3 linked regions of the Stegostoma tigrinum genome follow. The protein of the gene in region 2 interacts with the protein of the main gene of each other region in a pairwise test. Links are inferred from orthologs where the notes say so. Each region holds a gene or a part of one and is shown on either strand. Other genes may lie near its edges.

Evidence for each region.
Region 1: the proteins of nup50 (region 2) and kpna5 interact in binary tests that used the Homo sapiens proteins (3 or more experiments, as listed by UniProt). The two-hybrid records come from large-scale screens. The link is inferred for Stegostoma tigrinum from reciprocal best matches to the Homo sapiens genes NUP50 and KPNA5.
Region 3: the proteins of nup50 (region 2) and importin subunit alpha-7 interact in binary tests that used the Homo sapiens proteins (3 or more experiments, as listed by UniProt). The two-hybrid records come from large-scale screens. The link is inferred for Stegostoma tigrinum from reciprocal best matches to the Homo sapiens genes NUP50 and KPNA6.

The regions. Positions count from the first base shown.
Region 1 is NC_081357.1:56,760,422-56,771,254, forward strand, and holds the start of kpna5 (importin subunit alpha-6), read right to left. Parts: upstream 4,887-10,833; 5' UTR 4,754-4,886; intron 2,080-4,753; 5' UTR 2,078-2,079; coding exon 1,949-2,077; intron 1,854-1,948; coding exon 1,749-1,853; intron 1,660-1,748; coding exon 1,560-1,659; intron 1-1,559. UniProt on the Homo sapiens protein: Functions in nuclear protein import as an adapter protein for nuclear receptor KPNB1. Binds specifically and directly to substrates containing either a simple or bipartite NLS motif.
Region 2 is NC_081371.1:18,012,486-18,022,946, reverse strand, and holds the start of nup50 (nuclear pore complex protein Nup50), read right to left. Parts: upstream 4,883-10,461; 5' UTR 4,681-4,882; intron 1-4,680. UniProt on the Homo sapiens protein: Component of the nuclear pore complex that has a direct role in nuclear protein import. Actively displaces NLSs from importin-alpha, and facilitates disassembly of the importin-alpha:beta-cargo complex and importin recycling.
Region 3 is NC_081377.1:47,827,874-47,838,161, reverse strand, and holds the start of importin subunit alpha-7, read left to right. Parts: upstream 1-5,934; 5' UTR 5,935-6,036; coding exon 6,037-6,040; intron 6,041-10,288. UniProt on the Homo sapiens protein: Functions in nuclear protein import as an adapter protein for nuclear receptor KPNB1. Binds specifically and directly to substrates containing either a simple or bipartite NLS motif.

The sequences.
Region 1 (10,833 bases), on a different chromosome or scaffold from region 2:
CGCTCCTCGACACTCAATGGTGTTACCAACACTGAATCCCGCACTATCAATGTCCTAGAGGTAACCATTGACCAGCTACTCAACTGGACTTGCCACATAATTACAGTGGCTACAACAACAGGTCAGAAGCTAGGAACACTGCAGCAATTAAGTCACTTCCTGGCTCCACCAGAAAGTGTCCACCATCTACAAGGCACAAGTCAGGAGCGTGATGGAACACACTCCACTTGCCTGGAGGGATGCATACCAACTGCACTCAAAAAGATTGAGAACTTCCAGAACGAAGCAGCACACTTGATTGACAACACATCCACAAGCATCCATTCCATCCACCGCTGACAGTCAGTAGCAGCAGTGTGTACTATCTGCAAGACGCACTGCAGAAATTTGCCAAAGATCCTCAGACAACAACTTCCAAACCCACAACCACATCCATCTAGGAGGACGAGGGCCGTAGATACATGGGAACACCATTTGTTACATGCTCTCCAAGCCACTTGCCATCCCGGCTTGGAAATATAGCGCCGTTTCTTTACGGTCACTAGGTCAAAATCCTGGAATTCTCCCCATAATGGCATTGTGGGTCAACTCACTGTAGGTGGACTGTGGTGGTTCAAGGTCAACCCCATCTTCTCAAGACAAAGTAGGGACAGGCAATAAATGTTGGTCAGCTAGCGATGCCCACAAATTAATTTTCAAAAAATGTAACTTGTGAAATATGCATTTGTTCCTATTTACTTAACACTTAAAATAGAGAAAAATGGCACGAAATTTCACAAGATTTCCCATTATGGTATTATTTTCCATTCAACCAAAACTAGAGAGATTCCTGGACAGTAGAATAGAACAGGAAATCAACTGCAACAATGAGACAGAAAACCCAGACATTAAACAAAGGATGCAGGAGTTGTACATACTTTCATCGGTCCATAATTTAAGTGTCCACCTACTCTTGATGATTAGAATACATTATGCTAGAAATAGTAAAAGCCCATCCTCTCATTCCAGCTCTGTGATTTTCTCAGAAACTGCTATTCAATTCTGGGTTTATTTTTCACTTCTTACCAACTTATAAACATACATACTTATAAGTGAGATTCGAGATTCCATAAGAATATTAATTTTAAAGACTAGACATGCGAATATTTGCTTGTACTTATGAACAGCTGTTTTATACTGTACTGAATTGTGTTCGGCTTGTACACAAATCGACTTATGAACATATTCAGACGGAACCTGTTCGTAACCCAGGGACTGCCCTTATTTGGACTTGCACAGATGCAATATTATAATTAATCAATATCCTCAATAATGATCAACCTTCCATTAAACTTAAAACCACATTTCAAAGGAAAGCATCGATTTACCAGCCATCGCTGCGTTTAAATTGTCTTAAGACAATGTGTAAAAGGAATCCTTATTGCCTTGTTCTGGCAATCCACCCTTCCTACTCCCGTAACATCATTCTGGCAGGCTCCTGTTCCTTCTCCCTTCTCTCCTTCCCTTCCCTCCAATAGTAAGAACTCTCCACAGCACTGCATTCAGCCCAAGATTCTCACCTTTTGACAACAGTTTCCGAAACTTCTGTGTGGCTGCAAGTTGCTGGTCAGGATCTTCTGAAAAGATCATCTGTACCATTTCTACTGTGATTACACCTTCCTACAATAGAAGACATTTAAGATTGGACACTTCAGTGTTTAGAAATTCTGTTCAACACAGACAAAAACATTCTTGTTCTTTCTACTTACGCCAGGTAAAGAGACTACAGTAGAGCTTATATCGGGGTCTTGAATGGGGCTTTCAAACATGGCTTCATCACTTCCAGGAACTGCCACATTCCTGCGCTTGAACAACTGGAACACAAGCAGGAAAAAAAAGCAATCAAATGAAGGCATGAACCAGATCTACTTATCAAAAAACTTTTACAGAACTATGATCACATACACACCTGCTCTTCCCTTTTCTGTTTCCGTAACTGGATACCTTCTTCTTCTCGTCGTCTTCGCATTTCCTGAGTGTTTAATGCTTTGTTCTTGTAGCTTCTCATCCTGTAGTTATCTTTTACTGGGCTTGCCATGCCTGTATTTAAACATTCCCAATATGATCAAATAAACCTTACAGCTGTAAAAGCACCATAATGGATAGATTTTCACCTTAAATAAAAAGGCAATCACGCTTTTAAAAAAAACTATGATTGATGTCATATCTCAAAGTATACTAATTTTAATTCATACTTTTTTGAAATGTTGAAAACATTCCAATTTTTCAGAACTTGTAACTTCCAGTAAACCTTTAAAACTAAAATATTTAAGGCTACGTATTTCACAAATATGTGCCTTTATTTTAGGACATTCAATTACTACTGTTCTCTCTGCCTCCCTAGTCTAAGTCCCTTTTAAAAGCACAGGCTTTGACGAAATGATTTAACTTTAAAACAATTGGAGAATGTTTCAGCAACTCTGTTGTGTTCTGGCTACTTGCAATTTTTATAACTTAATTTATCCATCACTAGATCAAATGGTATATCCTACATACTGAAGCTCCAGATGTTTAAGAAAAACTGGAAATATCAACCGGTTCCCCAGCAAACAATTATTTTCTAACTCTTAAGAAACAGTTCAGTGAGAGAATGGGTTGTTAGAACAGAAATTTCAGTTAATAAACAATGTAGAAATAAAGAGAAAATATAATAAACAAATTAATCTGTCAACAGAATTCTAGCTGGAAAATAATAAGAGTCAGTAATTAGCATGGTTCCATTAAATCTTCAACTCTTGGCGCCTGCAATGTGCTTAAATCACAATAGACAACCTCCCCGAGACTGTCAGATATATAAAAAGGCCGGAAGCAGTTGGCAACACGGAAAGAGACAACGGTTGAAAATACAGTAATTGACTACAGGGATAGTAGGAACTGCCGATGCTGGAGAATCTGAGATAACACGGTGTGAAGCTGGATGAACACAGCAGGCCAAGCAGCAGAGGAGCAGCAAAGTTGACGTTTCGGGTCGAGACCCTTCTGACTATCCCTGACTACAGGAATCGGTTGGAGAAGCCAGAAGGTGTTATCATTGTGGATCCCAATTTTCTGAGCCCTACTCTTTTAAAACACAATAGATGCTACTCCTCTAATATTTTTGTACTTTCTAACCATCAGTGTTACGTAACTCCTTTCCAGACCCTCAGGAAGACATATCTGAGATGGGGATGACAGGGTAGTGAAGATGGCATTTAATACTCCTGCCTTTATTGGTCAGTGCACGAGTATAGGAGCTGGGAGGAGGACATGTTGTGGCCGTGCAGGACATTGGTCAGGCCACCTTTGGAATACTGCATTCAATTCTGGTCTTCCCACAATAGGAAAGATGTTGTGGAACTTGAAGGGGTTCAGAAAAAATTTACAAGGATGTTGCCAGAATTTGGAGGATTTCAGCTATAGGGAAAGGCTGGGGCTATTTACTCTAAAGCACTGAAGGTGGAGGGGTGAACTTATAGAGGGGCATGAATAAAGTGAATGGACAAGTTTTCTTCCATCAGGGTAGGGGAGTCCAAAACTGGAGGGTATAGGCTTAAGGTGAGAGGGGAAAGATTTAAAAGAGACCGGTGGGGCAGCCTTTTCATTGACAGTGGTATGTGTATGGAATGAGCTGGCAGGGGTGGAGGAAGCAGCTGGTAGTTACAATATTTAAAATCCATCTGGATGGGTACACAAATAGGAAGGGTTTAGAGGGAAAAGGGCCAAATGCTGGTAAATGGTGCTATATTAATTTAGGATATCTGATTGGTAGTTACAAGTTGGGCCAAAGGGTCTGTTTCCATGTTGTATATATCTCTACAACTTTAAGACAGTTGCCACTTTGACTTTCTGCACTTGATTCACAATTTCTTGGACTCCACACATTACTCAAACTCCCTAAATATCACTCCTACAATCCCTGACAGAAGTGCTCAAACCACCAAATGTTATAACCTAATTTGAACATTGGTCTAATTTAAACATGAACGCTCTAATATATCCAGAGTTTGTCTACTGCAACTAGCAATCTTCAGATGATGCAGGACATTGTACATTTCATATAGCCATGACATGAAAACTCGGTATAAAAACCTCTGACCAGAAAAAGTAGTATTAGAACTCAGAACTGTAGCATGACAGTTCAAGTTTTTATTACAATAGAATCGGTTACTTTGGACCAAATAAAAAATCTTTTCCTTTACTTTCAGTCTCCACCGACCCCGACCCCACCCCCCCGGAGGTTTCGGACAGGATCAAACTACATCCCTAGCTTCCACATACCGACCACAGCCCACCTTTGTACCGCTATGACTGGGCGGGTGAAGCAAGTCGTCCACCTCACTTGTAAATACTGTGCCAATTACTAGAATAAAACCTGCGATTTTAAACGACCGGCTGAAGAATCTTGAGGGGTAGACGAGGACGGAGCTTGGAGAAAAAGTGGCGATTCGCCTTTGGAAACGGTGAAGAACCTCTGTCTCCTTCTTCGCCGCCACCCCACACACTCGGAGAATCAGAGGGTTCTCCAGAGAATACCCACGGCCCGGGGAGACACGGCAAATGCGGCCCGCTAGTTAAAGGCCGAAGTGCAAGTGCAGGGTGTGGAGCGTCCTAGACTTTGGGGACGGCCTATCACAGAGAACGCCATGGCTGAGGGTCCCGACGAAGAAGGCCTCGGCGTTGGCGGCCGGAGAGCCTCCGGGGACGAAGGAGGGAGGAGAAGCAGGAAGGAGCTCACCTGCAGCTGTCGCTCGCTTCTCCGAGCTCTCGCCCACCGACCGTTAGACCCTTAGACCCGAACCCACAATATGGCGGCAGCGCGGATGCAGCGATCCCAACAGCCACCTCGACACCGACGCACTATCTGCGTCTGCGCACCCTCAACAGCTCTTCTCTCCCCGACCAATCGTTTACGACTCCGCCAACTCGCTTCCAAATTAAAGCCCTCTTCTCAAGTTTGATTATCGTACTTTCCATTTCACAAAACAAAACTAACATATTCGTCCGATTACGGGATTGCTATTTTTGAAAAAGGGTCGTAGTCTTACCACCCCAACATGAAAATCCTCATACCGGAAGTGATGGAGTGGGGGAATCTTTTTGCTGTGACACACTGGCGATTGACAAAAAACTGCCATCTCCACCGGAGATAATGGGAACTGCAGATGCTGGAGAATTCCAAGATAATAAAATGTGAGGCTGGATGAGCACAGCAGGCCAAGCAGCATCTCAGGAGCACAAAAGCTGACGTTTCGGGCCGAGACCCTTCATCAGAGAGGCGTATCCACCGGAAGAGGGAACACCGTGCGCTTGCGCAGTAGTGGAGAAAGCAGTTAGACGAAATACCACAGCCACTGCTCAATTGTGGGAAAAGAGAAGTTTTGCCCTGAGTCTCAGCCCTAGCCATAAGTGGGGTTGGCCAGCGACGGACGCAAATAATTAGAAGTTAAAGTCACGATACAAGGTGTATCTTATGGTTCCAAGACAGCTAGGGTCAAGGAGTTAGTTCTTGTCTGTCGGCCAGGCTGTGAAAAGAAAGTCAAGGAAGGCCTGTGTACTGGTAAGGAAGGCGGTATCTCTTAATCACCATTTGATGTAAGGGTCAACCGTCTTCACCCTTTGGATTCCAGTGGTAAAGTAAGTGACTGCTGAAGCCGACCTGGGTCCAAAAGACTCTACTGCAGATAGGATAGGAAATCACAGGCATTTGAGTTTTGAACGAGTTTGCTGGACAGAAGATCCACTTTGGTAAGCAGCTGTGAAGAATTCCGGTTGGATGACCAGCCCGATTCAGTTGTGATTATGTCAATATGATGTGGATGCTTGACATGCCAGCTAGGATGAGCACCTCAGTGGCTGAGTATTCTGCCCTGCCATGTGATTTTCAGAAAAGCTCAATCCCAATTTGGGTTCAAGTGTTTGAACGTCTTAGTATAACACTGGTATACCATCCATATCTCGTGTATATAGAGCAGAATGGGGCAGAACTATTCCTGTGGTTTTGAAGAAGAGCAATACCTGACATGAAACTTTAACCCTATTTGTCTGCACAGATGCTGTCAGACTTCCTGAATTTCTCAAGCCTTCTGTGTTTGTTTACCTTGCTTTCAGCAATTTCTGGTGCTGCTCTTGGCACATTGTCCTGCATACTTTGAACCCGGGTTGATCCCTTGCTTGATGTTAAATGAAGTGATGGATATGCCAAGCAATGAGGCTATCAGTTCTGGTGGAATGCAGTTCTGCTGCTGATGGGCCATAGCAGCTCACGGAGCTCAATTTGAATTGCTTGAGCTCTTCACCGTAACACGATTGAGTGTACGTGATGGGACTTAATCAGCGTGGATTTATGTGGTGGTCATTCCTGCTAACAAGGTGAAGAATAGATGCATCTGTGATGGATAGATTGGTAAGGATGAGTGAAAGTAAATCATTTCCCATCACTACCAGCCACAAACCCATTCTAGCAGTTATAGTTTTTAGAAATCAGTCATTAGTGGTGCTACTGAGCCACTGGTTCCTTTACATGGTACATTCTGCTACTGTTTGTACTTGTTTGGTTATCAGAAGTTTTCCTTGTCCATCCTTTCTAGATTTATTGTGTGAAATTTAAATTTGACCACCTCTTGAGACGGAATTCTACAGTACTAATCTGGAACTCTGAATTACATTATTATTACCTCACAACATCACATTGAGAAGATACCAAACCTCATGTGGTAAACTGAGGGTAATACCAATCAACTGCAGTGTTACATGGATAGGTTAGCAGAATGGACAGAAAGTTGCCAAGTGGAATTTAGCACTGAGAAGCACCATGTGTATTTTGATGGAAGGGATAAGGAGAGTCAATATAGCCTGAATGACATGGTTCTAAAGGATCTTTAGACACGAAAAGACCTCGGTATTTGTGTGCATAGATTTTTGATAGCGTCCAGACATATTGATAGATTAGTTGACAAGGCATAATGACTTTTGCTTCATAATTGAAGATAAAAGGACAGGAATTAATTCTAGGATAACACAGTGTGGAGCTGGAGGAACACAGATGGCCAGGGAGCATCAGAGGAGCAGGAAAGTTGACTAAAACCTGAGACCAGTCTCTCTTGGTCTTTGTATTAGCAGTTAAGGGAACAACATTTATTTTTCTGTTTTATCTAAAGCTGTGTTGCAGTCTTCTAGGTTGTAATTTCCCTACAACCTGTCTCTTGTCAACTTTCCTGCTCCTCTGATGCTGCCTGGTCTGCTGTGTTCCTCCAGCTCCACGCTGTTATCTCCAACTCCAGCATCTGCAGTTCTTGCTATTTCTGAGGAATTTATTCTGTATTTTTCTTATAAATCTCTGGATGGATCCACTTAGAGTACTGTGTATAGTTACGGTCATGCTTTTTAGAAAGGATATGAAGATCTTTGAAAGGTGCAGAGGAGAATGGTTGCAGAATTGAGGGATTTTAGATACTGTTAGATTGGAGATGTTGAGATTGTTTCTCTTGTTCCAAGAGAAAGGTTATAGGGAAATTACAACCTAGAAGACTGCAACGCAGCTTTAGATAAAACAGCAGAATAAAAGCTGTTCCCTTAGCTGATATACAAGGACTAGAAGAGACTGACATAAGGGCAAGCAGTACTGGGGAATGTGAGAAAGAACCTTTTTATGCTGTGAGTTGTAGTAAGCTGGAACTTGCTAGATGCAAGATGACAAATTATTTCAGAAGGAAATTTGACCAACACTTAAATACTTCCAGGGCTAACTGGATGGAGCAGGGGAGTAGGACTGATTGACTTACTGTCGGGGGTGCCATCATGAACTAAATGGCCTCCTGTGTTGTAATGACTGTTGTGACTAATCAAGTTTCAGGAATTAAATATAAGAACATAAAATAACAGGTAATTGGCAAAAAATGTGGACTGAAGCACAGAAAATAAAATCTAACTGAACTTCTTGATTACTTCCTTGTGTAGTGCAGAGCTATCGGGGGAAGGCAGATCATGCCCACTCTTCACAGTAATTAGCTGTTGTGTTCTGAAATTTAAAGGTCTAGACAAACATTTTGATAGCTGCTGTCAAAAGGTAAGTGCATAAAGTAAGTATGATGTTAGCTTGACTGGTAAGTAGAGGTAAATAATGTGCCAGAGGTAGAGGGGAAAGGGTGCCATTTGGGAAAAGGGAGAAGGTAGCATCAGTACCGGGGTAGGTGATGTTTAGGGTTGGATCTGACTAGTTGATTTATTGTTGTCATGTACTGAGATACAATGAAAAGTTTGGTTTTACATACTATACAGGCCGATTGTACTGTACAAAATGCATCAGGATGACAGACAGAGCACAGAATACAGTGTTACAGCTGCAGAGAAGGTGCAGAGAGAGAGAGAGAGAGAGAGAGATCAATATTAACATTTGAGAAACCCATTCAAAAGTCTGGGGAAAAGTTGTTTTTGAATCTGTTCATATGTGTACTGAAACTTTTACAACTTCTGCTGGATAGAAGCATTTGGAAGACTGAATAACTGTGGCGGGAGGGATCTTTATTATTTTGATTACTTCCTTTAGGCAGCAGGAAGTATGGTTGGAGTCAGTGTATTGAAGGCTGGTTTGCATAATGGACCGGGCTATGTTCACAACTCTGTAGTTTCTTGTGGTGTTGTGAACAGCAGTTACCATACTACGCTTTGGTGCATTGTTGTGCTTTCTTGACCATCGCATTGACGTGGGTGAACCAGGACAGATTGGTGATCATCACTCCCAGGAACTTGATGCTCTCAACCATCTCCACGTCGGCATGATTGATGCAGAAGGGGTGTGCCTTCCTCTTTGCTTCTTGAAATCGATGATCAGCACCTTTGTTTTGCTGATGTTGATGGAGAGATTGTTGTCTTTACACCATGCTGCTAAGCACTGTATGTCTTTCCTGTATTCCGTGTATTCATTGTTTGAGATTTGACCTATAATAGTAGTGGGGTCAGCAAACTTTTAAATGGATTTGGGGCAGAATTTGGCTGCACAATTGTTACTGTGTTAGGAGTATAGTTGGGGGATAAGTATGCAGTATTGAAGATTGTGCTGGAAAAGATGTTGTTGCCCATTCTTATTGATTGCAATCTATGGGTCAGGAAGTCAAGAATACAGTTACAGAAAGAGGATCTGAGACCTAGGTCTCTGAGTTTAGAGATAGGTTTGCTTCGAATTATGGTGCTGAAGGCAGAACTGTAGTCAGTAAGTAGGAGCCTAACATGTGTATCCTTGTTATCCAGATGTTCCAGGGATAAGAGTAGGGCCAGGGAGATAGCATCTGTCATGGGCCCGTCATGCTGGTAGGTAAATTGCAAAGGATCAAATCAATCTAGTAGGCTGGAGTTGATGCACGCCATGATTAACATCTCAAAGCACTTCATAATAATGGAAGTTAGAGCCACCGAGCAGTAGTCATTGAGGCATACTGCATAATTTATCTTTGGCACTGAGATGATGGTGGTCTTATTGAAAAAGTTGGGGACTTCAGATCATAGTAAGGCGAAGTTTAAAAATGTCAGCAAATACTCCCACCAGCTGGTCTGCCCAGGATCTGAGTGTGCTGCAGGGGACCATATCTGGCCAGTTGCTTTCCATGGGTTCACTGTCAAGGCCAAACTAACATCTTCAGTGGTGCCATGGGTACAGGTACGTCCGAGGTTATTGGCACATATGACATAGTTTCACTGATCTTCCGCTCAAAGTGAGCGTAGAATGCATTGAGCTGTTGGGTAGGGATGTATTGTTGCGTGCGATGCTGTTCGACTTTGCTTTGTAGTCTATTGTGTCATGTAAGCCTTGCCACAGATGATGGGTATCCATGTGGTTGGTTTGGATCTCGAGTATAGTCTAGTATTGCTGCTTGGCATCTCTGACCTTACAGAGGTCGTACCTGGATTTCCTGTATAGGTTAGGATTGTCCAACTTCTATGCCTCAGATCTGGACTTCAGTGGGGAGCGGATCTCCTAGTTCATCCGTGGTTTCTAATTGGGAACATTCAGATTAACTTCTTCAGCACGCAATCTTCTACACACTTGGAAATGAACTCTGTAATGGTAGTGGCATACTCATTCAGGTTAGCCACTGAGATCTTCAAGTGTGGTTAGTGGATAAATGAAATTGGGACCAGCTGGGAAATGGGGGTTCAAGTTTGGCAGGGGGAAGTGAGTTCAGGTCTGATGGTGGGAAAAGGAGTGTCAGGTCAAAGTTTGGGGACAGCGTTTCCTGTAAGTTGTGCAGCTGATGGGAAGCCCCATGCATGTTTATCAGCATGACAATGCATGGTTTCCAATTCCCAAAACTGCTGCCCCAAATGGACTATGGAGGTTTGCATAGTAGCGAAAAGAATTATTGGGGGAATGATGACTGGGAGTTTGCAACTGGCATGGTAAAGGTGTAGTTGGGGTGTGTATGATAAGTATGGGACTACTTTAATATTACTCAGGAATTGGGTGATGTATCAAATTTTTCCTGAGTAGCTATTTACTTAATTTTGTCAGTCAAATGCAGCCTTGATGTCAAGTGTAGTTATTCTTGGTAATAATATAGAACAGTAATAGAACAGAACATTACAGCACAGTACAGGCCCTTCGGCCCACGATGTTGTGCTGACCTGAAGCCCATCTAACCTACACTATTCCATGTACATCCATATGCTTATCCAATGACGACTTAAATGTACCTAAAGTTGGCAAATCTACTACTGTTGCAGGCAAAGCGTTCCATTCCCTTACTTCTGAGTAAAGAAACTACCTCTGACATCTGTCCTATATCTTTCACCCGTCAATTTAAAGCTATGCCCCCTCGTGCT
Region 2 (10,461 bases):
GCTTGCCTCTATCTTACATGCGGTTTGAGACCCACAGCAGTCTGGTTGACTCTGAATTGCCTCATGGGTAGTTAGAGACGAACAATAAATGCTGGGCTGGGCAACAAAGGCCACATCCCATGAATAAATAATAGAAATCTCATCTCAAAAATGAAAAGAAAGAAATGGAAATCTCAAGGTATAAACAGCAACCTTACAGCACATTTTGGCTGTCATAGACAAACAGTTATTCAAGTTAGTCCCACTTTCTTGCTCCTCAGTTCTGTACATTATGCTACCTCAAGTACTTTTTATATTAGATTTAGATTTCTGCCAACTCCTTTCAGACACCAGATTCCAGATCCTCAAATATTTCCACTAATCCTTCTAACAATTAAATCTATATGCCATGGTTACTGGCCTCTCTAAACCAAGGGATGCAATTCTTTCTTATCCATGCTATGCTGTAAATTTAAATACAGATATTGCACCTAAATTTATTTACAACACAGGGTAGTAATTCAAGCCATAAGGCTCTAACTGTTTCTATTTTGTGTGGTTTCTCCTGCAGCATGTTACTGGCTAGCTATAAGCAAGGAGGACTGTTACCTCACTGAATCATAGAGCATTTACTGGATAGAGACTGGCTAGTTAGCTCATGGGTTGCGCTCTCTCGCTGCAGCAATACGACAGCTGGTCCCGCTCACCAATCAACTCCTTGTAACCTTGCACATCTTTTCATCTTCGGGTGCTTGTCTCCATCACTTTTGAAAATCACAATGGAATCTGCTGTCACCAATCTCTTGGGCAATGCATTTCAGATCCTACTCAATTTGTCGTAGAGAAGAAATAAACATTCTTTCAAGTTGTCTTTTACCAATCACCTCAAATTTATGGTCAAAATTCTCGGCTCTGCTTGCAAAGGGAACTATTTATCTTGACCTGCTTTGGGTGACACCCGGAGATCCTGAGCACCTCTGAAATCTTACTCTCGAAAGAGAACAACTTCTGTTTCACCAATAACTGTGTCCTCCATCTCAAGAAATATTAATTTTAAATCTTTCTTGCATCTTCCTAAATCCTCCATTATTCTAAAAAAGTCTGCCAAAGAATTACCCAATAATCCAGGTGAGGTAAAACCAGTGTTTTATACAAATTCACCATATCTTGTTTTCGCACTCTAAGCTTTTACACATAAAGTCCAGGATTCTGTATGCTTTACCAGACACTATCTTCAATTGGCCCTGTAAGCATCAACAATTTCTGCATATTTATCATCAAGCCCCACTGCTCTTTCACCCATTGGCTCCTTATTCTTCCTACCAAAATGTATCACTTCATATTTCTCTGCAGTAAAATTTCATTTGCTACCTGTCTGCCCTTTACATGAGTTTACAACTATGTTCCGACACAAAACTTGGAAGTACTGTGAAAGTGAAATTGTGGCCAGTTACTACATTATTTAAATACATGGAGAAAGGCATTGACACCTGTGGAATGCTGCCGTATATCATCCTTCAGTGTGAAAATTGACTGTTTAAAATGTGAATCTTAAATAGAAGATAACTGATGACATTGCTTAAAGTACTCAACTATTCCAAACAACACAGCCATCTGTGTTCATAACCAGTTGAAATACAAGTATGCCTTTTCACATTAATTCATTTGCCAGGGCACTAAATATTGCCTAAATTAAGACTGATTAAACAAGTGTGTATACTAAAATCATATTCAGGAGGCCAACTGATCACTTTTTTTCCCTCAAAATCGAACACAGTTCTACCAGGAAATCCTTGTACACAGTGAAAAAAAGAGTCAATCTTAAACGAGTACATTAGGGAGTTCTAAATGGCTTCATGTAATATCCTACCAGCCAAAGTCAACTAGTTACAGGATAAGTAGTGAACATCTAGAGTTATTTGAATTTTCATTAGCCAAATTTCATGTGCTGATGGCAAAAACATCACATTCAATACCAGTTACGCTGCATATTCCCCAGGGAACTGGAGTACACAAAGTGTTGGATATAAAATTCGTCCCAACTCCAAACATCAGGCTGTTTACAGATTGTCTCATGTACCATGACTTAGATATGCCTGTAATAGTCCTACAGTTAAGTTGCATAATTAATATATCAAAATGCCACAAATTACATGCAATAAAGGTGCAGGCAACAGTGGGAAATCAACCTCGCATCCATCAAACAAACTTGTATCTTGGTGTTCTCCCTCAGTGACATCAATTCACCAAAAAAAATGAAGTGCTGTAACACAAACAAAATCCTAGAATTTTTAAAAGGAAATATCTAACTAAATACAATAAAACTCTAGACTGGTACTTAAGGCTTGGTATGTTCCAAACTGGCTAGCACAGGAACAGTCTGGGACCCCTACTGAGCCCACCTTGCAAACAAACTGGAAAATCATTCAAAGACAAGCAGCATGGTTTTTCTTCAACAACCATGTCAGAACATCTATAGTTAAGCAAAATGCTAGAACAAATGCTAAAACAAGCTAGACCGCAAAGCTAGGTGAATAAGCTTACACTGCAGCTCTCTCTGACCTTGCTAATGTTCTACCACAATAAGTTAAATAAATAGCCTACCGCAGAAAGGAAACATCAAATGGATTCTGCATTTCCAATGTAACACACAATAACACCTGAACAGCTGAATTATGAAATATCTAGCAGCTTCAGATAACATCTACCTGAAAATATGAAAAAAGCCTATATTTGACCTGCACACAAAAAGCATGAGATCACCATTCTAGCCCTCATTAGTCTACATTTGAACACTGGCAAAGTGAGAGGAGATGTTGTCAACAGTGCCATCACGCAGCTCTTGCACAGCAATAACATCCTCTAACATCCTCATTGATGCTCAGTTTGAGTTCTCGTAAAGCCTCTCAGTTCCAGGCCTCAATACAGCTATGGTCCAACGATAGACAAAAGAATGGCCACAAGGGGAAAACAGTGGCTGTTCTTTACAGTGAGTGTGACAGAGTGCGATCCTGACAAGTATCAAGTAACATTCAGGCCACAAGTGCTGAGTAGTGATCCTCTTCAATACAGAAACTAACATCACTTGACATTCAACATGGGGTGGAGAAAGTCACCTCATCCACCACTGATTGAGAGTCAATAGCAGCAATGTGTATTGTAGACCAGATAAACTACAACATCTTGGTCGTTGAGAAAAACAAGGGCAGCAGACAAAAACATTCCCGCCTGCAAATTCCCCAAGCCAGCCACTATCCTGACGTGAAACTATAATCAGCATCTTTTCACAATCAATTCTGCACCCGAGAATGCTCCCTAAAAACAGCGCTATGAGTGTACCTACAACACACAAGATAGGCTGGATTAAATCAACTCAAAAATCTTCCTGTGGGCAATGAGATTTGGGAATAAAATACCTTGCCAGCGATGTTTAAATGTTAGGAAAGAACGTTCTCAGAAATAAAATCGAATAACCTCCCACAAAAATAACTAGCCAAATGACCTCGTAGTTAAATGACAGAAATGAGAACGAAGATAATTTAGGTTATGTGTGCAGCACAAAAGTCACACCATGGACGATGTTGCTCCAAATTATGTGAAGCAACTATTCTGATACAAAAATTACTGCAGATGCTGGAATCTGTACTGAAAACAAAAATAAAATGCTGGAGATCAAAGCGGGCCAGGCCGCATCCATGGAGAGAGAGAGCGCAAGGTAACGTTTCGGGTCTAGATAACTCAGAACTAAAGAGAAGTCATCTGGACTCGAAACGTTAGTTTGCTTTCTCTCCATACTATTCTGATAACTCATGAGTCGAGTCTGAGAACTTCCGGGTTTGTATTGGGCAACGTATAAGCTCACAGCACAACGCATTGTGAAATTGTCCGAAAACTTCAACGTTCGGATGTAAATTTACCAAAGTGCACACTGGGCCTCTCCCGACTGTTTCGAGGAGAGAATGTCTTTCTGTTCCCACCACTGGGAACCTAGTGAACTCCCCGGGGCAGACCAACGAGCGGGAGATCACTTCCTTTATCGGTTGGAGGATATTTAACTTAAAATATTTTGATTTTAAAAAGCCTCTTCATTAAAGGGGTTGGAAGCATAATGTTAATGCCTTCCAGGGGGTTAGAGGCGCCCTCACTGTGGGTGAACAGGGGCATGTGGCCAGGAGAAGCCGCGCAACCGAACATGACATCGGTGCAGCCGGCTTTGATTGACAAGGAGCTGACCAATCAGCAGGCGGCAGGAGCCAAAGGCGGGTCTAAAACCAGCAAGTTTGTTCGACTCGTTGCTACCCCAAGATGAATGTGCGTTTTAAAAATGAGCGGCCAGGACCACTCCAACACGATCCCAGCGAGATAATTCAAACCGTCCAGCACCATGCTCGGGTTCACGGCTGATGAAAATGGCTAGAAATGGTTTTGATCAAATAAACATAGGGGAGACCAAACGATCAGTCCTCACAGCGAGGCCAGGCCGCAATGAAATGTCGTTTTACCCTTGTATTCAAAATATGTCCCTCAGCTTCTGCACCCACAAAAGACGCCAAGCATCAAATATAAACCTACCCCGCACCCTACATGAGTTTATTTAATCTCATAGACCGTTTCACTTTTTTCTGGAGCGACGCAAACCAACGGCTTCCCCTGTGAATATGTGAATTCTCAGTGCGAGCACATAAGGTTAGCTTGGCTCACCTGGCTGCGGTAGGTGAATCTGCCCTTGTCGACAAGCCGGTCGCTCGGTGCTGGTAAGGCCTTTCGAAGGTTACAGTCTGATTTCCCCTATTGAATGCCGAATGATTGTATTATGTGATTCCACACTCCTTCCCTCAGCCCCTTCTCGCGCTTTCAGCTGTGCTCCTGTTCCGCCATTTTGTGCCGGTGGGCGGGACGTGCGCATGCTTCCTCCACAGAACCACTGACACAGGACTAAGGGCATCTCCTGTTGGTGTCTCTTCAGCTTCACTTTGGAAGCCTATTGGTGAACACTGGAAATGTTCAACTGTGCTCATTCGATGGAAAGTATCTGGAAACCAAGCATCAGAGAAACTGGCACTTGTAATTCAAGAGATAACAAGGTGTAGAACTCGATGAACACAGCAGGCCAAGCAGCATCACAGAAGCAGGAAAGCTGACATTCTGGTCTAGACCCTTCTTCAGAACACCTTGTTATCTCAGATTCTCCAGCATCTGCAGTTCCTACTATCTCTTGTAATTCTTCCTCCAATTTTATAGAGCTCGAGTGAGGCCATGCTTGGAGTGCCATATACAGTTTGATCTCCTAAGAAAGGGTGGCTATTTTAATCAATCTGTCCAGCAATTCTGAGGAAGGGCCACTTGACCCAAAACATTAACTCTAATTTATCTTCACAGGTGCTGAACTCTTTTTCTGTTTTTGTTTCCGATTCACAGCATCCGCAATTCTTTCATTTTCGTTTTGGAGCACGTGGAACCTGAACCCAGGCTTTCTGACTCAGAAAAGTTGGGACACCACGGCTGCAACACAAGAACTCTCCCGAAAGAAGAACATATATATCATAGAAAGAGTGCAAAGGGATTTTCACCAGACTAATCACTGGGATGATGGGGTTTTCTAATGAGGAGAGATTGAGGAAACTAGACACGTATTCTATCGAGTTTTGAAAAATCAGAGGTAATCTCATTGAAACTTACAAAAATTCTTATAAGGTATAACAAGGTGCATATAGATTGAATGTTTCTCCTGGCTGGTGAGTCTAGAACCAGGGATATAGAGTCTCAGATTAGGGAATCGGTCACTTAAGACTGTGATGGGAGGAGTTTGCGCACTCAGAGGTTGGTAAATACTTGGCTTTCTTTGAATTAGAAAGCTGTGGAATCTCAATCATTGAGCATGTTTTATACAGGAATAGATATATATCTGGATATGGCAGACCGTCAAGTTTCTGTGGTGGATTACATATTTAGTATCTGGGGCCAATCACGGACAGTAGTGGGAAGCTGTGTGTGGAATCAGAGGAGATAGGGGAAGCACTAAATTAATATTTTTCAACAGTATTCACTCTAGAAAACGACAATGTTGTTGAGGAGAATACTGAGATACAGGCTACTAGAGTAGGTGGGATTGCGGTTCACAAGGAAGAGGTATCAGACATCCTACAGAGTGTGGAAATAGATAAGTCCCCTGGGCCGGATGGGATTTATCCCAGGATCCTCTGGGGAGCCAGAGGGGAGATTGCCGAGCCTTTGGCATTGATGTTTACCTCGTCATTGTCTACAGGAATAGGGCCAGAAGACTGGAGGATAGCAAATGTGGTTCCCCTGTTCAGGAACGGGAGTAGAGACAATCCTGGTTATTATAGACCAGTGAGCCTTACTTCAGTTGTTGGTAAAGTGTTGGAAAATGTTACAAGAGATAGGATTTATAATCATCTAGAAAAGAATAATTTGATCAGGGATAGTCAGCACGGTTTTGTGAAGGGTAGGTCGTGCCTCACAAACCTTATTGCGTTCTTTGAGAAGGTGACCAAACACATAGATGAGAGTAAACCGGTTGATGTGGTGTATATGGATTTCAGCAAGGCTTTCGATAAGGTTCCCCACAGTAGGCTATTTACAAAATGCGGAGGAATGGGATTGTGGGAGATATAGCAGTTTGGATCGGAAATTGGCTTGCTGAAAGAAGACAGAGTGTGGTGGTTGATGGGAAATGTTCATCCTGGATTCCAGTTACTAGTCGTGTACAGCAAGGGTCGGTGTTGGGTCCACTGCTGTTCGTCATTTTTATAAACGGCCTGGATGAGGGCGTAGATGGATGGGTTAGTAAATTTGCAGACGACACTAAGGTCGTTGGAGCTGTGGATAGTGACAAAGGATGTTGTAGGTTATAGAGAGACATAGATAGGTAAGCTGCAGAGCTGGGCTGAGAGGTGGCAAATGGAGTTTAATGCGGACAAGTGTGAGGTGATGCACTTTGGTAGGAGTAACCGGAATGCAAAGTACTGGGCTAATGGTAACATTCTTGGTAGTGTAGATGAGCAGAGAGATCTCGGTGTCCATGTACACAGATCCTTGAAAGTTGCCACCCAGGTTGACAGCGTTGTTAAGAAGGCATACAGTGTTTTAGCTTTTATTAATAGAGGGATCAAGTTCCGGAACCAAGAGGTTATGCTGCAGCTGTACAAAACTCTGGTGCGGCCGCACTTTGAGTATTGCATACAGTTCTGGTCACTGCATTATAAGAAAGATGTGGAAGCTTTGGAAAGGGTGCAGAGGAGATTTACTAGGATGTTGCCTGGTATGGAGGGAAGGTCTTACGAGGAAAGGCTGAGGGACTTGAGGCTGTTTTCGTTAGAGAGAAGCAGGTTGAGAGGTGACTTAATTGAGACATAAGATAATCAGAGGGTTAGATAGGGTGGATAGCGAGAGCCTTTTTCCTAGGATGGTGACAGCGAGCATGAGGGGGCATAGCTTTAAATTGAGGGGTGAAAGATATAGGACAGATGTCAGAGGTAGTTACTTTACTCAGAGCGTAGTAAGGGTATGGAACACTTTGCCTGCAACGGTAGTATATTCGCCAACTTTAAGTACATTTAAGTCGTCGTTGGACAAGCATATGGACGTACATGGAATAGTGTAGGTTAGATGGGCTTCAGAATGGTATGACACGTCGGCACAACAGAGGGCCAAAGGGCCTGTACTGTGCTGTAATTTTCTATGTTCTATAAACAAAATCCACATATGCGTCAATAGAGATAAAATACAACTTTAAAATAGACCTAACTCTGAGTTATCACATTTCCTGACAACCATAATTTTGTCATTGAACTGATCTTTAAATAGGAGAAAAATGCACAGGGAACATCTTGCTGACAGTCAATGCCACCTGCAGCCTTAAAACAGTCGTGCTTGAGATTATGTTCAGCCAGGTAACCTTCGAGAGGGAGCACACAGCATGGTTGCAGCTTTTAGGATCCATGTGGGGCTGAGGTGTGTTATTTCCCCCAACCACTACATTTTGATTTGATCCTCCAGTTTTCATTTCAGTTCCAGTGCCCTAATGAGCTGTTTGATTTTTATTTATTTAGTATTGCTTTTGCAAATAAGTATTTGAATGGATATAGTGGCTCTTGTGGCAGAATAGTGGTGTCCTTGTCTCTGAGCTACAAGTTATGGGTTCAAGATGGGTATATGGACAGGGGTTAAAAAGGTGTTTGGCATACTTGCCTTCATCGCTCATTCCTTTGAGTCTAGGAGTTGGGAAGTCATGCTGAGGTTCTACAGGACATTCCCTGGAAATCAAGGACAAAATACACAGATGAAGTTTAAAACAGATTTGAACTTAAGTTGTGTGAGGTTTTCTCAGTCATTTATTCCTGTGGTTGTATCATCTCAACGACATTAGAAATACTAACAATTGCAACCAGAAAACCTGTTTGTCAACCTCAAGGCACAATCTATAACCATGGTATCCATATTACTGTACCACTATCTACACCACTCAAACACATTTATTAGGTCACATTAGTATTGTCATTTGATATATCCCATCCAAGTGGCAGGGCATATTGAGTTGGGAGGAAATTACCCTCAAAGTCTTCATCATTGACTCTCAATCACATAAAATCCCAGGATGTAGGGGTCAAAATGGGCAAAGAAACTCCTGCTGACTACCAGTAACACACCTCGCCTCCTAAGATGATGAATCAGTGCTTCTTCATGTTCACCTGGAGGAAACACCGAGAGTAGCAAGGTTGCAGAATGTATTCTGGGTTTGGGAATTTCAATGTCTATCACAAGGCAGGCTTAGTAACACCACCACTGCCGGAACTGGTCACATCTGTTAACTCGATCTGTAGCAGGTGAAGCCCTAGTGTGCAAGAGGGAAAAGCATATTTGATGTAATCCTCTCCAATCTGCCTCCCTTAGATATGTCTGTCTGTGACAGTATCGATAAGAGTGGCCACCGCACAGTCCTTGTGGAAACAAAGTTCTGTCGTCACATTGAGATTACTCAACATTATTTATTCACTCATAGGATTTGGACGTTGCTGGTTGGCCAGCATTTATTTCCTGTCCCTAGCTGCCTTTTAGAAGGTGTTGGTGAGCTGCCTTCTTGAACCACTGCGGTCCATGTGTTATAGGTGGAACCATAATGCCCCTAGGGAAAGAATTCTAGGATTTTGACTCAGTAGTAGTGAAGAAACAGCAATGTATTTCCATGATGCAGAGATTCCGGTGTTGGACCAAGTCAAAAGTGCTGTGACACCAAGTTATAATCCAACAGGTTTATTTGAAATCACAAGCTTTTGAGGTGGTGCCACTTCACCTGATAAAGGAGCAGCACTTAAAAAGTTGCGATTTCAAATAAACCTGTTGGACTATAACCTGGTGTTGCGTGATTTCTAACAATGTATTTCCCAGTCAAGATCTTAAGTGATTTGGAGGGCACCTTGCAGTTGGTGGTGTTCCCATGTGTTGCTGCCCTTTTCCTCCCAAATGGAAATGGCCATGGGTTTGCATGATGCTATTTAAGGAGCCCTGATGAATTTCTGCACTATATCTTGCAAATAATATACACTGCTATTACTGAGCATTGGTAGCGGAGGGAATGGATGCTTTTGGATGTGGTGCCTATCAAGCAAGCTGCTTTGTGCTGGATGGTGTCAAGATTTATGAATGTTGTAGGAGCTGCCGTTAACCAAGCAAGTAGGGAGTATTCCATTACACTCCTGAGTTGTGCCAAGTAGATGGTGAGCAAGCTTTTGAGAGACTGGAGAGGAGTTACTCATTGCAGTATTACTAGCCTCAGACTTGCTTTTGTAAGTACATTGATAAGGTGAGTCCAGTTGAGTTTCTGGTTAATGGGAACTCCAAGGATGTTGATAGTGGGGGATTCAGTGATGGTAACACCATTGAATGTCAAGGGATGGTGCTTAGATTGTCTCTTATTGGAGTTGGCCAATGTCTGGCATTTGTGTGGCGTGAATGTTAATTGCCACTTGTCAGCCCAAGCCTCATATTGTCTAGATCTTGTTGCATTTGGACATGGACTATTTCAGTACCTGAGGAGTCACTAATGGTGCTGAACACTGCAGTCATCAGTCACTTCTGACCTTATGATGGAGAGAAGGTCATTGATGAAGCAACTGTAAATGTTCTCTCCCTATTTATTTCAGAACCCTCTCCCCCTCCCCCTTTTCTGATGAAGGGTCTCAACCAGAAATGTCAGCTTTTGTGCTCCTAAGATGCTGCTTGGCCTGCTGTGTTCATCCAGCTCCACACTTTGTTATCTCGGATTCTCCAGCATCTGCAGTTCCCATTATCTCTGATACAATTTTAATCTCACTGCAAAGCCTCTTCTAGGGATGCCTAACCTGGAGAAGTTACCCTCCTCCCTCTGGACAAACCTCAGGGGATCTCTCTCCCAGTACAACTCCCTTGTAATCTCTTCGGCCTTGAAACTGCTCGACCATGTCCTGAAGCAAACCAGGTACT
Region 3 (10,288 bases), on a different chromosome or scaffold from region 2:
CCTTCAAATGGGAGGACCCCCAGACCGGGAGGAAGCAACAGTACCGGTGGACAGTTCTTCCCCAAAGATTCACTGAATCCCCTAACCTGTTTGGCCAAGTCTATGAGCAGGTATTAGAGGAATACCATGGGGACCCGGGTACACAACTGATACAATATGTGACTGATCTTCTAGTCTGAGGAGAAAGAGAGAAGTACGAGATTCCACTATAACGTTATTAAACTTCCTGGGAAAGAAGGGGTTGAGGGTGTCTAAGAACAAGCTGCAATTTGTCGAGCAGGAGGTGAAATACTTGGGTCATTTAATCAGTCAAGGGAAAAGAAGAATAGGTCCGGAAAGAATCGTGGAATTACTAGTATGCCCCTACCGAAGAGTCGGACAGAAATTAGAAGGTTCCTAGGGCTCATTGGGTACTGTAGATTGTGGATTGACGAATACGCCCGACGAGTCAGGTTTTTGTATGACAAACTAGGAGGAGAAGATGAGAAGATAACATGGACTCCGCAGGAGCGACAAGAGTTCACTCGTTTAAAAAAACAGCCTGGTAAACGCTCCGGTTCTGGCTCTACCCTCAATCAATCAACCCTTCCACTTGCTCGCAAATGCCGAGAACGGGGTAGCCTCGGGAGTGCTAACTCAGAACGAGGAGGGCAGCAGCACCCCATGGCTTTCCTCTCAAAGGTTCTGGATCCAGTATCCCGCGGCTGGCCGGTGTGCCTTCAAGCGATTGCAGCCACGGCCATCCTGGTTGAGGAAAGTCGGAAGCTCACGTTTGGAGGAATCCTGGTAGTGTCCACCCCACATACTGTCAGAACGATTTCTGGCCCAGAAATCTCATCGATGGCTGACAGATTCCAGGATATTGAAGTATGAGGCTATTTTGATGGAAAAAGACGATTTAACCATCGTCACAGACAAGAGCTTAAATCCTTCCCAGTTCCTATATCCGCCCAAGGGAGGGGAAGAATCTGGGAACCTGGAGCATGATTGCAGTGAGGTAATAGAGCTACAGATAAAAAGCAGGGAGGACCTGGAGGAGGAGCCCCTTGCAGAGGGGTGTAGGTGGTTTATAGATGGGTCATCCCGCTGCATTGATGGAAAAAGATACAATGGATACGCCATCATCAATGGGACCATGGAAACCGAAGTAGAGTCCGGGAGACTGCCTGGCGGTTGGTCTGCCCAATCCTGTGAACTATATGCTCTGGTGAGACCGTTGGAATTATTGGAGGATCAAGAAGGTACTATATATGCTGACTCAATACGCGTTCAGGGTAGTACACACTTCTGGGAAGATCTGGAAGGAACGAGGAATGATTACAGCAAGAGGAAAAGAGCTAGCTCATGAACAACTTATTGAAAAGACCTTGGAAGCCCTATTAAAACCTGAAAAGATAGCAGTGGTGCATGTCCCGGGACATCAGAAGGGAAATTCGCCTGAGGCTAGGGGCAACAGATTGGCAGATGAAGTGGCAAGGCAAGCTGCCCAATCTGGGACTGTGCGGATGATGTCCCTTATTCCCCTGAGAGAAGGGGGTAAAGAAGGTGCCGGTGTTCTCGGTGTTTGATGAAGGACAAATGGAGGAGCTGGGAGCCAGGATGACGAGAGATGGGAGGTGGTGGCTACCTTATGGGAGACAGCTGTTGAGCAAGGAGATCACCAGAGAACTGTTGGGAGAACTGCACTCACAGTCGCACTGGGGAGCCCAAGCATTATGTGATGCTCTCTTGCGGGTGTATGCCTGTAGGGGGATCTTCACTCTGGCAAAGCAAGCGGTCTCTCGATGTATAATTTGTCAGAAGATAAATAAGAAAGTGATGACAGCCATGCCAGGAGGGGGACAGCCATTGGCAATTCAACCGTTCCAAAGAATACAAGTGGATTTCACTGAGATCCCCAGCGTCCAGAGATGGAAGTACCTGTTGGTGATAGTTGATCACTTTACCAGGTGGGTGGAAGCCTTTCCCGCCGTCAGTGCCACGTCCCAAGTGGTGGCCAAGATTCACTTGGAACACGTGATTCCCAGGTATGGGATAATAAAGTCCCTAAACTCAGATTGTGGAACACATTTTGCTTCCAGGACACATGAACTGACTTGTGACACTTTAGGGACGAAATGTAAGTTACATGCACCATGGTACCCACAGAGCTCGGGAATGGTCGAACAAATGAACGCCACTCTAAAGACTCAGATAACAAAATTGATGGCAGAGACGAAGCTTCCCTGGACTAAATGTTTGCCGATAGCTCTGCTCAGGATACGCACCGCTCCACGCAGAGATATAGGGATGTCCCCTTACGAGATGTTGTTCGGGCTCCCATACGTGGGAAAGATAGAAGGGGTGCCCACTATTGAAGGTAATGATGTATTTCAAATGAACTATTTACTGGCAGTCTCTCGTTCCCTTACAGAGTTAAAGGCCAAAGGGCTGTTGGCGCAGAGTCCTCCTCTCGATTTTTCTATCCACTCGATCAGGGCGGGAGACTGGGTTCTGGTCAAGTCGTGGCAGGAAGAAAAACTCCAGCTGCAGTGAACTGGTCCATACCTGGTGCTGCTGACAACAGAGACAGCAGTCTGAACGAAAGAAAAAGGGTGGACGCATGCAGCACAGATAAAGGGACCAGTGGATCCGCCAGCTGAGGAAGAGTGGGAGGCACGGGAGGGGAACAACCCATTGACGTTAAAATTGAAGAAGAAGATAAAATGAAGGGTTTACACTGTACTGTTATTTTATTGTTAATTGTAGCCTGGGGAGAGGGAAAGAATCATTTTACCGCTTATGTCAAAACTATGCTAGACAAACGGGGCGCACCAACTGCTGGGTGTGTGCTGCAATCCCACATCATGGGGAGTCCAGAATTCCTCTGACCAAAGAAGAAATAGGCGAGGTGCTGCAGTTTGCCTCCACTTTAAATGATACGTGGGAATCGGTCAGGGGTGCATGGAATTCTAGTCACGGGAATTGGTAGCCACGTTGGGGAAGGTGGAACAGGAGCAAGGGGAATTATAGTTTCAAGGGATGGTTTCCTCAGCCGGCCCCAGGGACCCAAGGTGCAAATGACGGTCTCAGAGTTTCGCCACCTGGGGGACAGGTTAACTCAACGTGTTTCTGTAACTGGAATGATAGAGCCCCGTTCCAGTTGGGGAATTTGTCTTGTAAACTAAACATTCTAGCCTTAGACACCACCCTACCCCAAGTTTTGAATGGGACACGCTGGGTTTGCCATAAAAGGCGTATCCATATCTACCCGGGGACATGCACCAACACCAAGGGGAGGAGGGGTCCGGGTGAGGGAGATCCTTGCCCCATGATCAAAAGGGATGAAGTGGCTGTTGTTACCTAGCCCATTTGGTTCCACATATGAGACTCCTGGGGCGGCCCCTAAGCTAAACCAGAGACAAGGAGGAGGGAGACGTAACCTCCGAAAAGTAACTGAGGGGGATTGTCTCCTCTGGACCTTGTTACCCATGTATGGGACTGCCCGATCAGGGAGAGAGATGCAGAAGCTGGCAGCCTCTCTGGAGGAGTTGGCCAACGACACTTCTGATGCTTTAGCCGATACCCAATCCCGGGTGGAGGCCATAACCACTGAGCCGATTGCCACTAGGCTAACGGCTCTTCAAAATCAGATGGCTCTAGACATTGTTCCAGCCAAAAAGGGCGGTACCTGTGCACTAATTGGGGTAGAATGTTGTACATACATACCTGACACCTCCCCAAATATTACTGATATCTCCCAGCACGTGCGAGACCAGATCGCCAAAGTAAGGGAAGCCGGTAACAAGTACCGGAACGAAAAAGGATGGGAATGGGGAAATTGGGGATTGACCGGTGGCTGGTCAATTGGCCATTTATGGATTGCTGATACTAGTGGGTCTGGTGGTGGGGCTCAATGTCCTGAAATGTGTATTGAGCCGATTGATGACATCCCTTGAAGGGGTGACCCAGATTCACCGCCAAAGGCTTCTGCAATCGGAGGATAGTATGCAGCAGAGAGAGATTCAGAGGATGCTCCGGGCGTTCGAGGGACGGGATCCCAAGGTGCAGTTTAATCATGATGCATAGCAAAAAGAAAAAGGGTGGATTGTGAGAGATAAGGATGATTAAACTGCAGTGAAAAGAATTACTCAGCTTTGAACCAAAAGACATCTAGTACTGAGCCGTGATAAGAAAAGGAGGTGAGGGCCAAGTGGTTAGAAACCAGAATGAACTGGTCCAAAACTACTAGCAGACACCCAGAGGGTGAAAAGGTCAAGCTTTGCACAATAGACATAGTTGAAGTGCATGCCTAATGAGAGAATGCATATTAACTTTTATGCCCATGCTTGCGAAGCTGCTTAATTAACATAACATGCGATGTATGAAGGGGGTGGGACAAGGGAAGTAACGGGAAGATTGTGCACCTTGGAGCTCAGATTGGACGGAGCCAAAAGGGGAGGATCTGGCTGGAAAAATGATGTATAAAAAGAGGAGGCTCCCTGGCCTGTGTGTGTCTCAGGCAATGGGAGGCACCTGATTCTGCAGACTTGTAATAAAGCTTAGGTTACTTGTTTCTAAGACTTTGACTCCACTGACTCTGTGATTGTGAGCATGTGAATCTAAATCTCACAATAAATGAGGTCAGGGTAATAGATTGATAGGAAACAGTAACTATAACATTCAGTTTGAGAGTGAGAACTTGGGTCACAAACAACTGTGCCAAACTTAAATAAGGGTGATTACAAGGAATGACAGCAAAGCTAGCTGGAGTGGACTGTGTAAGAGGTATAAAAGCAAAACAATTAAGAAACATTTGCAGACATTTAAGAAAATAGCTCATGATTTGCAGGAAAGATATGTCCCAGTCAGACAGAACAATTCTAGGAAGGGGACAAGCCAAACATGGTTATAAAGGAAATTGAGGGTAGCATTGGACTCACCCCCTCCAACTGAGTAACACTGCAGGAAATTTAGTGAATTCATTGGCTGGTGACCACTACCATTGGGGAATGCTTCTTAAAAACCTGCAAATTAGAAAAGTGTACTAAGTGACTAACTGAATGTCAAAGACAGTGCAATAACGGAGAACAAGAAATAATAGGTAAGTCAGCCGAATTATGATCAGAGAAAGATGGTAAGGTTAACACGGGAGAAACTTTTAAGGTTAAATAAGACCAGGGCATCATAAGATATAGGATAATTAGGTCATTCAGTTTGCAAGAATCATTCGAGGAATGAGAAAAATCAGTTATAAGCTGAAGAAGTTGGGGTGTTATAATTGGAGAGAACAAGGTTAAGAGGAGATTTGAGATAATGGGAACTGCAGATGCTGGAGAATCCAAGATAATAAACTGTGGAGCTAAATGAACACAGCAGGACAAGCAACATCTCAGGAGCACAAAAGCTGACGTTTCAGGCCTAGACCAGCTCTGATGAAGGGTCTAGGCCCGAAACGTCAGCTTTTGTGCTCCTGAGATGCTGCTTGGCCTGTTGTGTTCATCCGGCTCCACATTTTATTATCTTAAGAGGAGATTTGATACTGTTTTTCAAAATCACGAGCGAGCTGCACAGACGTGACAGGTAGAAGCTGATCTCTTTTGTAAAATTAAAAAAAATTAACTTGATGGACGATAGACCACCCTGCAAGAGCTGAATGGATTCCTTCTGGTTATAGTTTCCTGACAGAGAGTGAAACAGAGTATAAAAAGTGACATAGACAGTTGGTACAGAGATAGTAGGACCTGCCGATGCTGGAGCATCCGAGATTACACGGTGTGAAGCTGGATGAACACAGCAGGACAAGCAACATCAGAGGAGCAGGAAAGTTTGACGTTTCAGATCAAGACCCTTCATCCGAGACAGTTGGTACTGGTTTTGCTGTGAACGGTGGGGGCGGAGAGCAGAAGCTGCCGTTTTCAATTTGCGCGCGCCTGCAGGAGCCAAGGCCCCGCGAGCCCCCGCGCGCTGCCGCCATCTTGGATCAGAGTTGTTTCTGGAAACAGCCGCGCGGCCCCGATAACAACAACAACCGTCAGGCAGGAGTGAGGACCGACAATGGGTAAGTGTGTGTGTGAGGGAAGGGGGTTCGGGGGCGAGGGAAGGGGGTTCGGGGGCGAGGGAAGGGTTGTGGTGGGTTGAGGGTGAGGGGACAGGAGGGGTGGGGGTTGCGGGAGGAGTCGAGGCAGAATTGGCAGGACGGGAGGGGCAGGGATGGGTTGAGGGGACAGGAGATGTAGGGGCAGGTCGGGAGGAGTGGGGGCAAGGGTGAGGGTGTGGGGGCGGGACACGGGGAGAGGGGAAGGGGGCGAGGTGGACGGGACGTGGGGAGGGGGGGGGGGGCGGAGCGGGGAGGGGGGGGGGGGCGGAGCGGGGAGGGGAGGGGGGGGCGGAGCGGGGAGGGGAGGGGGGGGCGGAGCGGGGAGGGGAGGGGGGGCGGAGCGGGGAGGGGAGGGGGGGGCGGAGCGGGGAGGGGAGGGGGGGGCGGAGCGGGGAGGGGAGGGGGGGGCGGAGCGGGGAGGGGAGGGGGGGGCGGGGCGGGGAGGGGGGGCGGGGCGGGGAGGGGGGGCGGGGCGGGGAGGGGGGGGCGGGGCGGGGAGGGGGGGGCGGGGCGGGGAGGGGAGGGGGGGGCGGGGCGGGGAGGGGGGGGCGGAGCGGGGAGGGGGGGGCGGAGCGGGGAGGGGGGGGCGGAGCGGGGAGGGGAGGGCGGAGCGGGGAGGGGAGGGGGGGGCGGAGCGGGGAGGGCGGGGCGGGGCGGGGAGGGGGGGGCGGGGCGGGGAGGGGGGGGGGGGGCGGGGCGGGGAGGGGAGGGGGGGGCGGGGAGGGGGGGGCGGGGCGGGGAGGGGGGGGCGGGGCGGGGAGGGGAGGGGGGGGGGGGGCGGGGAGGGGAGGGGGGGGGGGGCGGGGAGGGGAGGGGGGGGCGGAGCGGGGCGGGGAGGGGAGGGGGGGGCGGGGCGGGGAGGGGGGGGCGGAGCGGGGAGGGGAGGGGGGGGCGGAGCGGGGAGGGGGGGGCGGGGCGGGGAGGGGGGGGCGGGGCGGGGAGGGGAGGGGGGGGCGGGGCGGGGAGGGGGGGGCGGAGCGGGGAGGGGAGGGGGGGGCGGAGCGGGGCGGGGAGGGGAGGGGGGGGCGGAGCGGGGAGGGGAGGGGGGGGCGGAGCGGGGCGGGGAGGGGAGGGGGGGGCGGAGCGGGGCGGGGAGGGGAGGGGGGGGCGGAGCGGGGAGGGGAGGGGGGGGGCGGAGCGGGGCGGGGAGGGGAGGGGGGGGCGGAGCGGGGAGGGGAGGGGGGGCGGAGCGGGGAGGGGAGGGGGGGGCGGAGCGGGGAGGGGGGGGGGCGGGGAGGGGGGGGGGGGCGGGGAGGGGAGGGGGGGGGGCGGGGGAGGGGAGGGGGGGGAGGGGAGGGGGGGGCGGGGAGGGGGGGGGGGGGCGGGGAGGGGAGGGGGGGGGCGGGGGAGGGGAGGGGGGGGAGGGGAGGGGGGGGCGGGGCGGGGAGGGGGGGGCGGGGCGGGGAGGGGAGGGGGGGGCGGGGCGGGGAGGGGAGGGCGGGGCGGGGAGGGGAGGGGGGGCGGGGCGGGGAGGGGAGGGGGGGGCAGGGGGGGGCGGGGCGGGGAGGGGAGGGGGGGCGGAGCGGGGAGGGAGGGGGGGGCGGGGAGGGGAGGGGGGGAGGGGAGGGGGGGGCGGGGCGGGGAGGGGAGGGGGGGGCGGGGAGGGAGGGGGGGGGCGGGGAGGGAGGGGAGGGGAGGGAGGGGGGGGCGGAGCGGGAGGGGAGGGGAGGGAGGGGGGGGCGGGGAGGGAGGGGAGGGGAGGGAGGGGGGGGCGGAGCGGGAGGGGAGGGGAGGGAGGGGGGGGCGGAGCGGGAGGGGAGGGGAGGGAGGGGGCGGCGGAGCGGGAGGGGAGGGAGGAGCGGGAGGGGAGGGGAGGGAGGAGCGGGAGGGGCGGGGAGGGGGGGGCGGAGCGGGAGGGGGGGCGGAGCGGGAGGGGGGGGCGGAGCGGGAGGGGGGGCGGGAGGGGGGGCGGGGAGGGGGGGCGGAGCGGGAGGGGGGGCGGGGAGGGGGGGGCGGAGCGGGAGGGGGGGGGGCGGAGCGGGAGGGGGGGGCGGAGCGGGAGGGGAGGGAGCGGAGCGGGAGGGGGGGGGCGGAGCGGGAGGGGAGGGAGGGGGGGGCGGAGCGGGAGGGGGGGCGGGGAGGGGGGGGGCGGAGCGGGAGGGGGGGCGGAGCGGGAGGGGAGGGAGGGGGGGCGGAGCGGGGGGGAAGGGGGGGCGGGGCGGGGCGGGGTGGAAGGGGGGCGGGGCGGGGTGGAAGGGGGGGCGGGGTGGAAGGGGGGAAGGGGGGGCGGGGTGGAAGGGGGAAGGGGGGGCGGGGCGGGGGGGAAGGGGGGGCGGGCGGGGGGGAAGGGGGGGCGGGGAAGGGGGGGAGGGAGGGGCGGGGACGAGGGGGCGGGGACGGGGGGGCGGGGAGGGGAGGGGGGCGGGGAGGGGTGGGCGGGCGGGGCGGGGAGGAGAGGGTGGGGGCGGCGCGGGGACGGAGGGAGGGGCAGGGAGGAGGGGGCGGGGAGGGCTGGGAGGGAGGTGGGGCGGGGAGGGCTGGGAGGGAGGGCTGCGGGGGAGGGCTGGGAGGGAGGTGGGGCGGGGAGGGCGGGGAGGGCTCGGAGGGAGGGGGGGGAGGGAGGGGGTGGGGGGGAGGGGCCGGGGGTGGGACGGGAGGCGGTGCGGGCCGAGTGGGCAGGGCATGGGCCGACTGGGATGAGGGGACGGGGACGGTGGGGTGGGGTGAGGGGATGGGATTTGGGTGAAGGGTCGGGGCGGGGACGAGGCATGGGGTGAGGGAATGGGAGGTACAGGGGCTGGGTGAGTGGATTAGGGGGCAGGAGGTGCAGGGGTGGTGTGAAGGGACTGGAAGGGTGAGGGGATGGGAGGGTTGCTAGTGGGCTGAAGGGGACGGCTGGGGTGGCGTGAGGGGGAGGGGTGTGGGTGGCGTGATGGTACGGGATGGGGAGGGACAGTGTAAGAGGACAGGTTGGGTTGGGTTGGGTGGGCAGGGTGAGTGGCGTGGATGGAACAGACGGGGATGGGAGGAGTGTGGGTGGCTAGGGTGAGTGAGTATGGATTTTAGGTTTAGAAGAGATCCAAGAGAATTTTTCTTCATTCAGAGTGATGAGGATTTTGAGCTCTGTGCCTAAATGAGCACTAGCAACAGATACACTCAAATCACTTCAAAAATCCATGAAGTGTTGTACTTTTTACAATGTGCAAACACCTCAAAGCTCTTCAGAAGTACTTTTGAAGTGGGCACTGTTTCAAATCAGGAAACAAAGCAGCCAATTTACAATCCACAGATATTCACAAACATCAAAGTGACAATAATGTGATTTTGTTTGTGATTGAGAGATTCCATGCGATCTAACATTCCAGAGCAGCCTTCCATATGGAACTTTACCAAAGGCCATGCTGAAATCCATATAGACTACAAACTACTGTCCTACCCTCTTCAAGTTGTCTGGTCACTTCATCAACAAACTTTAACAAATATGTGAAGCATGATCTCCCGTGCACAAATCCATGCTGACTACTCCTAATCAAACCCTCTTTCTAAATCCACATATAGCGTATCTCTCAGAATCTTATCAAGTAACTTAGCTATCACTGATGTTGGGGATATTAGTCTGTTGATTTGGAGCCAATGTGTTTGTTGATGGAGTTCTGGTTGGAATGCCATGCTTCTAGGAATTCTCGTGCATGTCTCTGTTTGGCTTATCCTAGGATGGATGGGTTGTCCCAATCAAAGTGGTGTCCTTCTTCATCTGTACGTAAGGATACTAGTGATAGTGGGTCATGTCGTTTTGTGGCTAGTTGATGTTCATGTATCCTGGTGGCTAGCTTTCTGCCTGTTTGTCCACTGTAGTGTTTGTCACAGTTCTTGCAAGGTACTTCGTAGATGATGTTTGATTTGCTTGTTGTCTGTATAGGGTCTTGATGACATGACCCACTCTCACTAGTATCCTTACATACAGATGAGGAAGGACACTACTTTGATTGGGACAACACATCCATCCTAGGACAAGCCAAACAGAGACATGCACGAGAATTCCTAGAAGCATGGCATTCCAACCGGAACTCCATCAACAAACACATTGATTTGGAGCCAATCTACCGTCCTGTGAGAAAAAGAACAGGAAATGTCATCACCAACCCAAGGAAACCTAAACAGATAAATAGAAAGTGGGACATAACACCAGCTCTTCATCAGAGGCTCACTGATGTTACCTCGAATGGTAACGAAACGTCTGAAAACGAACCTTCCAGCTCAGCGAGCAAA